Drosophila melanogaster: one gene and its partner. The protein of the gene in region 2 interacts with the protein of the main gene of each other region in a pairwise test. Each region holds a gene or a part of one and is shown on either strand. Other genes may lie near its edges.

What was found.
Region 1: the proteins of LS2 (region 2) and CG6418 interact in a two-hybrid assay, tested with the Drosophila melanogaster proteins (one large-scale study listed by BioGRID).

What each region holds. Positions count from the first base shown.
Region 1 is NT_037436.4:10,875,451-10,881,014, forward strand, and holds CG6418 (uncharacterized protein), read right to left. Parts: upstream 3,588-5,564; 5' UTR 3,496-3,587; coding exon 1,120-3,495; 3' UTR 865-1,119; downstream 1-864. Other genes in the region: Blos4 (biogenesis of lysosome-related organelles complex 1, subunit 4), read left to right, coding at 3,720-3,863, 3,918-4,283; CG6409 (uncharacterized protein), read right to left, coding at 5,342-5,564.
Region 2 is NT_033778.4:23,209,067-23,213,464, forward strand, and holds LS2 (large subunit 2), read right to left. Parts: upstream 2,474-4,398; 5' UTR 2,433-2,473; coding exon 1,083-2,432; 3' UTR 1,064-1,082; downstream 1-1,063.

The DNA.
Region 1 (5,564 bases), on a different chromosome or scaffold from region 2:
TCTAAAATATATTGTATATATTGGATATGTATGTTATATATGCGGCAACAACAAAAAACAGAACCCCTCCCCCCAAAAAAAAACACACAAAAGCTAATTAATACATTTAAATAATGATAATAATAAATGAAGAAAACAAAAAGTATTTCAAAACTAAAATTAAAGTGTTATAATTTTCGTTTGCGTCTTATTTTCCCACACAATTTTCCCCCGTTTTCTTTTTGGATTTTCTCCTGATTTTCCGATTTGTTTCGTACGATGTGGTTAACATGGACCAATTTTTATATACAAATATATATATATATACATATATATATGTATAACACCCACACACCGACGAGTCTTTGAATAGAGTATATACGCGAACTATATATAACGGAATATATATATATATTCATGTACGTATCTGATATGATATTCAAATATAGCGAAATTTTTAAGCTTTGCCCCGGCTTATTCCCCGTTCAGCGCTTAACAAAACGAAACAAATCGAAAAAAAAATCGAATAAATCGAAAAAGTCGAAAATTTACGCGAAATCGCCTCGATGTGGTAGTTAAATGAATCTCAAATCTCTTCTCAATGTTATCAAAAACACACGTAATTTAATTATAATATAAACACGTATATCCAAAAGCGAAAAAGAAACAAAATTCGTAGTGGTTTCATTGTAAAACAATATTTCATAATGATTAAACGAACAATTTAGCTTCAAGATTTCGATATTCCAGTTCGATTTCTTCTCTCGCTTAATGAAATGGAAAAATTAAAATTAAAATGACACGATTAACGATTAACAATATCGATAGGCAGTTGGGATGCGCAAATGTGATTTTATTCAAAATAAAATACACATAACCATGATTACAATTAATGAATATTTTTATTTGGATCTGTGGGATCGTTCGCTGGAACTGGCTGCGAAGGAAGAGAGTTGTACATACGAGTATTTAACTAACGTAATCTTTATGAATGAACATGGTATATATCTGATTATATATAATATGTTTAAATTTAGTTCATAAGTTGTAATTTTAAACGATGGAACAAAAGCAAATACACATTAAATAATATGAAGAGAAATAAACCAAATAGCAGCATCAGTTTATTGGGCTCGTCGTTCAATTCCAGCGACTCTTCTTGGCTCTTTTGGCATCCTGGTTGCTGCTGTTGTTGGCCGATGAGGCGGAAGCACCCTGTGTTGATGATGAGGGCGGTGCCATTGGCGCAGCGAAAACTCCCGACTCCGGCAGAGTTTTCTCCCAAGTGCGATCGCTGGACGCACGGAACTGATTGTTATACTGGGATCGGAATGCCTCCCTCATTGCTGTATAGCGATCTGTGGCTGGTCCCGAGCTCGAAAAGGCTTTGCTAGAGGGTCCGTCGGAAGGACTGTGGGCAGACACACTCGCAGTGGACTCCGAGCCACCAGCCGAACCATAGCCACCACCTCCATTTCCTTTCTCCCGATAGCCCAATCCTGTGTGGGTATTTGTTGGTCTCTTGCCTTTGCCCTGCTTGAAGCGTGAGCTGCGGAACCAGGAACTCTTCATGGCCAGCTCCATCAGATCGTCGGGCACCAGCTGATCGGCTCCCTCCAAGTTACGCACCAGATGTCCGGCGAACTCCTTGTCCTTATCGGTGACTAGAGTGTATGCATTACCCTTTTCACCGGCTCTGCCCGTTCTTCCAATTCTGTGCGTGTGGGTTTCAATGTCCCTGGCTGTGTCGTAGTTTACCACATTCCTAATATGGGGTATATCCAATCCTCTGGCTGCCACGTCGGTGGCCACTAGAATATCGCACTCTTTTCTCTTAAACTGAGTGATGACCTTGTTTCTGTCCGCTTGGTCCATATCGCCGTGGAGTAAAAGACAATTGTACTCCTTAATTAAAAGATTGTTAGACACCGTTTCAGCATCTACTTTTTTAGTCACAAAGATCAGGACACTTCCTTCGGAAAGGAACTTCACCAGATGGCACAGCAGCCAATTCCATTTCTGCAGGGGATTGGGGAAGACGTACACAGACTGTGTAATGTCCTGATTGGCCTCGTTCAGGTCTCCCTGCACTATTCTCACGGGATCGGAAAGCACATCTCTGGCCAGACGTTCAATTCGCTTCTTAAAGGTGGCCGAAAACATTAGGCATTGACGATCTGGACGCACGTGGTTGCAGATGGAGCGAACCTGGGGCTCAAAGCCCATGTGGAACATACGGTCGGCCTCGTCAAGCACTAGGAAAGTGACCCTCCTCAGATTGGTGGCCTTCATCTTGACCATATCTATCATACGTCCTGGCGTGGCCACAATAATTTCCGCTCCCTGTTCCAGAGCTTTACTTTGCTCCCATTTGGAGCCTCCGCCGTAGCAGCAGACCACGTTCAGGTTGTAGACCTTGCCAAACTTCTTGGCCTCGTTGTAGATCTGCAGGGAAAGCTCGCGTGTAGGTGCTAGGATAAGTCCTATGGGTCCGTCGCCTGGCTTCAGCTGTTTCTGATCCATCACATGCATTAGCATCGGCCAGATGAAAGCTGCTGTCTTACCGGAACCAGTTTTGGCTATGCCAATGATGTCTCTGCCGGACAGGGCGGTGGGCACTGCTTGTGCCTGGATGGGTGTGGGCTGTGTATACTCCGCTTTCCTCACGGCCTTGATGAGTTGCTCATCAAAGCCGAAATGGCCGAAGGACGTGACTGGTTTGGGTGGTGATGGACCAGTGACCTTTACGCCAAGTGTGCGCCTTAATTCCCGGACTTGCTCATCATCCAGGGCGGCTATGTCGTCATGCTGCGTGTAGAAGTTCTTCTCGAAGGGTTCGTACTCGATTTCGGAATGGTAGATGGGCGGCAGAGGATCAATGTCCTTTTTCTTCGGTGGGGCTATGGGATTGCCATCCTCATCGTATTCGATTTCCTGATCGGATCCCTCGTCGCGAAGTCCAGCATTGGGATTCTCCTTCATGTAGCGATAGTAGCTCTCCTCATCGTCCTCGTCATCGATGTCACCTCTCACCGCCTGAGTTGGCGGCTTAGGTGCTTGTTGACGCTTCTCCTTCTCCACCTGCTGGTTGATGCCCGCCATGAACTGCTCGAGGGGATCCTCATCCGAATCGGAATCCTCTTGCTTTTTGGCCGACGTTGGCGGAGCTCCCGGGGATCCTGGTGCCGGTATATAGGCTTGTTCTATCTCCTTTTCCCGGGGCTCATCGTCATCATCGAAATAGTCATCGTCCGTGTGGTGCTTCCTTTTGCCAACCAGATTGGTGGCATTGGTGTACTGGCTGATGGAGTCCAAGGTGGAGTAGCCGTGCTTGGACGTTGATGTAGTGCTCCCGGTGACACCGCCACGGCTTGCTCCTCCAAATCCTCCGCGGGAACCAGAATAGCCACGGGCATTCAGCATCGGGGGCGGCGGTACGGCGTTCATGTTGTTGCCGGAACTTGCTGGCTTGCGGTAGGGGAAGCCCCCACCGCCAATGCCTCGATATCCACTCATTGTGCTACAAATCCAAGCAAATGCTGCAAGCTAACAATTTCCAAAATCAATAGAAAACAGTATGACCAGAATGAGCAGCAGCGGGACAGCGGGCAAATGCTTTGGGGTCACACTTTAGCTGATAGGAGTTTTACCCTCCTCAATTATGGTCACACTGGTCGAAAGTGAAAACAATTGTTGCTTGTATTTACAAATATTCAGCTAATTAAACCAACGCCTGAAATATGCAATCGAATATTGAGAATGTATCACGGGACTATGCAAAGATACTGCAGAGCGCCGACCTGGAGAAGGAGATAAATCCACTGTGCACGAATATCGAGGATATGCTGGCCAGATTGGATGAATTTGAGACTTTGTTGGCTTCGGTTAGTTGTTTTCTTTAAAGTTAGTGTTTTCACTAATAGTTTATTGACTTTTAGGTGCGTGCGGAATCCAATGGCATGATGGCCAACAACGTCTGCTCTATACTAGGTTTCACAGACAGTTTCGAGCAACTGAAGGCCAGAATCGATGGTCTGGAGCAATGTGTGGGTGTAGTTAGTGCCAATTTGTCGGAAGTGGAAAGATCTGTGGATATAGCCGAGGAGGAGCTGCATGTCACAGACTACAGCCTCAAGGGACTTCTCCTGAAGCCGCTGAAGGCCAAGTTAAGTGCCAGCGATACCAGCACACTCAGCTCCCTGCCACGATCCAATCTCGTCGAGGAGGAATATCAGCCTGTGGAGATCTACAAATCCGACGATTACTTCGGAAAGTCGGAGGAGGAGAACTACGTAGCTAAATGACTAAACATATATGGAATAATTAGATGAAACCTAGTTTTACTAAGCTTAAAATAGAGATGTTACTAGAAGTTAGAGGATCTTTGCAGATGTAAAAACATAAAGGTAATTTTATTAACTTTCTAAAAGCAACTTCATTTGCATTTTGTTTTTAAATTAGGCATTTCTAATGCATTTTGAATATGCAATAACTATCAAATTAAGACAAAGACATCTAAATTCAGCTTCGTAATTACATTTAAGCACCTACTTGTTATAATTGTCATTATAATTATAGCGAAAAATTACAGATAGAATGGAAAAAACCGAGGCAAACAATACGTTGTTTATTGTTACATTAAGTCTGGCTGTTTATATTTATATTACTGATTACTTACATTAGAGTAGTGAATAAAATAGCAGTTAGCTACGTGGATGCCATAAATATTTAGTGAATAATTAGCGAAGAGGTGCTTACGTAAATATTCAATGTTTTTTTTTACGGGAAGCGCGAAGTTAAATTGCTCGAATTTATACGGGGAAATCCGTGGAGTCTCGCATTTAAATTGCTGCCTATAACGTGGAAAAATTCTAAAAAAAACTGCAATACAGCTTTACTATAATAACAATTCTCTGTGTACGCCTTTGTCTAGAACACAAATTAAATTTGTTACCAGGAAGCTACTTTAACGCATAAAATTTAGTGCGCTTGAAGGCGTTTAAAATCGGTACAAGGTTCTTAAATTTATTATTACCAACGTGTGTAGAAGTATTATTAACAAATATGAAGTACATTTAAAGCTTCATATATTTCCCTTGAAGTAATATTAAATTATATTACAATTGAATTAATTCTTGGAAGTTTTACCCATAATTAATGCCTGAAATGCAGTAGATACCACTTTTTACTTTGCCTATTATATTAACTGCCTTTTTACAGACAGCCATCCACATAAATATTTATTAAATAATTAACGCCCAGTCTTTTTATATAAGCATGTAAATATTTGTGTTTATTTTAGTTCGTTTCGCTGACTACAAATCTCGTGATGGTCCCATTAGCGACTCTTAACATAGGAAGCCTAGGCCTTAGCTTTCTCCTTGCTTTCCTCGGAACTGGAAGTGGACTTATCCGCGTGCTTGTTCTTCTCGAAGAGCTCGGCCACGGGAATGGGATGGGGGATGTGGAGATTGTGGATGGACGGAGTGGTGCTTTCCAGCTCCGATTTGGTGGTGGATGGGAGATCGGTGGTGGTGGTGGCTTTGGTTTGCGTGGGCACGGGAATATCGCGCTGGTGACGCTGT
Region 2 (4,398 bases):
TTATGGGCGTTTATTAATTACCCATCGAGGCATTGATTTTCATGGGACAGCAGCAGCGGCTTCGAAAGAAGTCTCTTGGTTTTTCGGTGCCCCTTTGGGAATGAAAGGCTCGCCTTCAGATCGTCTCCTCCGGTGAATGACAAAAGTCGAAGGCGTTGGATTAATTTGTGGCCACGGTCCACTCAAGTTCTCAAGTTCTTTCCCATCCTTCCTGGCACAATCTCCTCCAGTCCGATAAAGCGTTTAGCTGTGCTCGTCGTTGCCACTGATAAATCGCTCCGTTTGCAGATGGGCTTTCAACGCTCGTAGCACTGCACTGCGAGAAATTGTGTGCTACTCCTTGTATTTCACATGTATGCAGTGACTGGGCTACAACTTTGCCACCTGTAAAACTTCTTTCTTTCCGTGTGCTGACCATTTCATTACGCGTACGAGTATTGATGATCGGCTGTCGACCAAATGACCAAACTTTGAGATAAGAAAAGACCCCAACCCCAGGCTGAACGGATGATGCCCCAAGACCCACGAAACGTGATACCTGAGAAAATGCAACCGTTCGTCGGCGAGATAAGCCGCCGAAGAAGCTTCTCCATTGAAAAGGCATTAAGGCATTACCTGGGCTTCGTAATAAGCGGTCGGTAGGTGTGAATATGCCGAGAAATGTCGACGATAAAGCGTAAAGTTTAAAATTTTAATTAAGCAAGAGCTTTGGCCTGACTCTTCCAGAGGAACTGGAAATAAAAGGTGAGCGGAGAAGCTGCTGCAGGAGCTGTCGGCTTTCGAGCAGCTTTAAGGATTGCAGCTTAAGTCGGTCTGCCTAATTGAATTTCTGCCATCGTATTTGGGGGGCGAGGAGGCGTGTCCTCACATTTCGATCCCAGATAACTTAAAGCGTTAAGCAGTTGATATCACAACAACGAGAGTGGAGAACTGGATATTAACTTCCTTATCGCTCGTGGCCTTGGCCACATCAGCTCACCGAGTCATCATCAGGTGTCATGATGGACTGACTATTAAGTGTAGATGTTCCTAGATGGTTGAGCATATTGAAATTTCAGTTAATATGGTTTATTATTTCGACTTTATTGTAGATCATCCGCCAGGTACTTTTCGGGATCGTAATACGAGGTCATCACTATGCGCCCGCTGAACTTGCGACCACTCAACGCCTTAAGGGCCTTCTGCGAATCCTCCACGGATTCGAACTGGACGAAGACCTTGCCACAGCCCCGCTTCGGAAATTGACCGATGGGACGCGGAATCTTGATGCTGCGAACCTCGCCGAACTTGGCGCACTCCTGCTTGATGTCCGTGCGAATGTCCTCGAACTCCTCGTCGTCCAGCAGCTCCTCCGGCCGCACCATGTTCAGCAGGCAGAGAGTTTCGGTAGGTGAGCCAGGATCTTGTAGTGTGGATATGCCCGGTACCTGAAGAACGGTTGGTAAGTGGCCGGGGAATGCGTTCTTTCCGCCTGGAATAGATCTCTGGACCACCAGCCTGCGATCCCCCAGCAGCATGCCGTGCAATCCAGCTATGGCGTGATCGGTAACCGAGGGATCGCAGTACTCAAAGAAGGCGAAACCCTTGTTCAGGTTCGTGTTGGTATCCATCACCAGATTCAGTCCTTTCAGTTCTCCAAACGACTGCAGCAGTTCCTTGACCTGATCCTGATTCAGGCAGGTGGGCAAGCCACCTACGTAGATCTTATTGGGGGAATCGGGGACAATAGTGGTCACAGGAAGGGTAACAGCCGGTTGTTGGGCTACATTGATGGCAGGGACCCTGAATGACCTGTAGCTCTCCATTGCAGAGACTGAAATCGAGGGCACTGGCTGATAGTCGTGTGGCCGTCTTATCTTCAAGGTTTGTCCACGGAAGACCATCCCATCGAAATTCAAGGCCTGGCTGGCCTCGTCAATGGATCGGAATTCCAGAAAGGCAAAGTTCTTCTCCAGATTCGTTTGGCAGGTCAGCACAGCATTGCCATCCATGTAGTGCGAGCTTTTTGCTTCAAATCCCAGAGCCATGATCTGATGATTGAAGAACTGCATCATCTCCTCATCCGTAACTCCGAATGGAATATTACCCACATACAGGCGGCGAGCTTGTCGAGTGATCATCGAAATCGCGGCGGACTCGCCCCCGTGTACGCCATCGGAAAGAATCCTCGAGGCAATCTGGCCGCTGGCCAGCATGGCCTTGTACTGTTGCGGAGTCAGGTGGTTATAACCCTCTGGTGGAATGTCCCAGGAGGAGGGAGGCCGACTGAAACGTCGCTGCAATCGCGTCCTCTCTGTGTAAATGGTATCCGAACGGGTGGGCCGGGATCGAGTAATGGATTGCGAACGGAAAGGCGAACGCGAACGTGAACGTGAACGTGAACGCGAACGCAGAGCATTCCAAGAACGATTCATGGGCCGAAAACGTCTCATACTTTTCAGCTAAAATCACCGAACACCAGGCCTTGTTGGTGAACTAAAATGAAATCACAATAAAAGCTACTCTGATTAAAAAGTTCAGTGTGACAACTGAAGGAATCATCGATAACGAGCAATGTGACCGCACTTAATCGACATAATGTAACGTAAATTTAATTTCTTGTCTAAGTCTAGCAAATTAAAAAATTCTCTGCAATCCGGCAAATTTGTTCATTCAGCATTCACATCTATCATTTAATGTATTCGATGCCAATGGCGGGGAGCTTGAATCAAAAAAAAAAAAAAAAACAATTAAGTCGTTTATCATACATCATCCGGATAGTTTTCAGCTTTCATTGTGCCTCGTTATATCTTTCGACAGAAAAACGTATCTACATACGTATCTGCGGGTGCATTTCCAGCGAATAATCATAATCATCATAATTTTCGTTAATATCGCCAATCAATTATAATTAATTGGCAACGGCTCGCCCGCAGGCCGTATAAATAGAGAAGAAGCAATTTGTTCAGGCCATGCTTTTTGGGTTCGTTTTCGGAGCTGCGTGTGTCTCCATCGCGATGTGTGGTCCTCCGAGCCCAGCTTCCCGCAGGGGATGAGTCGGGGATACCATCCTCGCCACATTCCTCGGAAACGCGACAACGACTTCATTTGGAACTGAGGGGCGGCTCAATTAATTCAGAAAGGCGACACAATAAAACTGTCAACTCAAATCGGACAAAAGAGGGATTTCAAACTTTAGGGGAATACTATTCTATTCACCGTAAATATCCTGCTTGCATAACGATGCACAGAACGGAGTGTTTGAACAAGGTAAGAAATCAATTTGAATAAAATGCTTGACTTTTCCCTCAGTGCATTCCCTTCTACACGTCACCATTCCACACATAACCCCCTATAAAGAACTTTATCGAACCCAGAAACCAAGTGATAATTTATGTCCCGATCCTCGATCATCGACTACACCGCACCTCCTTTGTGGAGGCTCTCAGGTATCATTCCCCATCAGCTAGGATAATGGTCTACTGTTTAATGGCTATTTGATGGCCCGGCGATCGCGCACAGATAAAGATACAGAGATAGAGATACAGATACAATCCCAGTCATGATTCAAGGCCAATTTGACACTTGTGAGGAATTTGAGATGGCGGCGCGGGTGCATACTAAAATGCAATCTCTGTCCGGCATTAAGCCTAAATTAAATATATTTCATCCAGTGTCCAAAAACCAATTAATTCTTTGTCCAGCCGCTTGGGTTTGTTGCTGCTGCCGAGGTTCCAATGGAACCAGAACCTGTCCACAAGCCTGACAAACGCAATTAATTTGTCCATTTAAATTCAGGCAACGTCTCCCCGCCCGCCGATTTTCTGACATATCCCCACATTGATGTCCATCGATGATATGGCGACATGGAGCCCGGATGAGGATGACGAACGCCCCGACTTCACATTCCCTCTCTCTCTCCGTTTTTTCGATCACCCATTTAGATTTGGGCCTTTTATTTGAACAATAACGACGAAGGCCATAAATTAATTTTTTCCTTGGCACACAAACAACTGAATAAAAATTCATAACATATTGTGCCACGTCTGAGTTTTGGCCAAATGGAAATCAGTCAAGAGGCCAAAACCAAACCCACACCAATTTTAAAGTCGTTCTGGGCAAAAGAGAATTTTTGGTTGCGTTGCGTGGGAATATCAGTTCAATAAAAGTGTTACTATTATATGTGTATATCATTATTTATAACTAATAATAATAACAGCCGCTACTTAAATTTAATTTCTTTTATAGTTAATAATATTATGCAGCTTTATCTAAATTGGATAAAATTTTGAAGGCTTAAAGATTTCTGATTTTGTCATTCTGAAATGATTTGGTTGAAATCTTGTGTCGCGAATTAAATTCCATAATAAATTAGATAACAAATCCGTTCATTTTAGCCAGGCTTATTCCGCGTTTGCT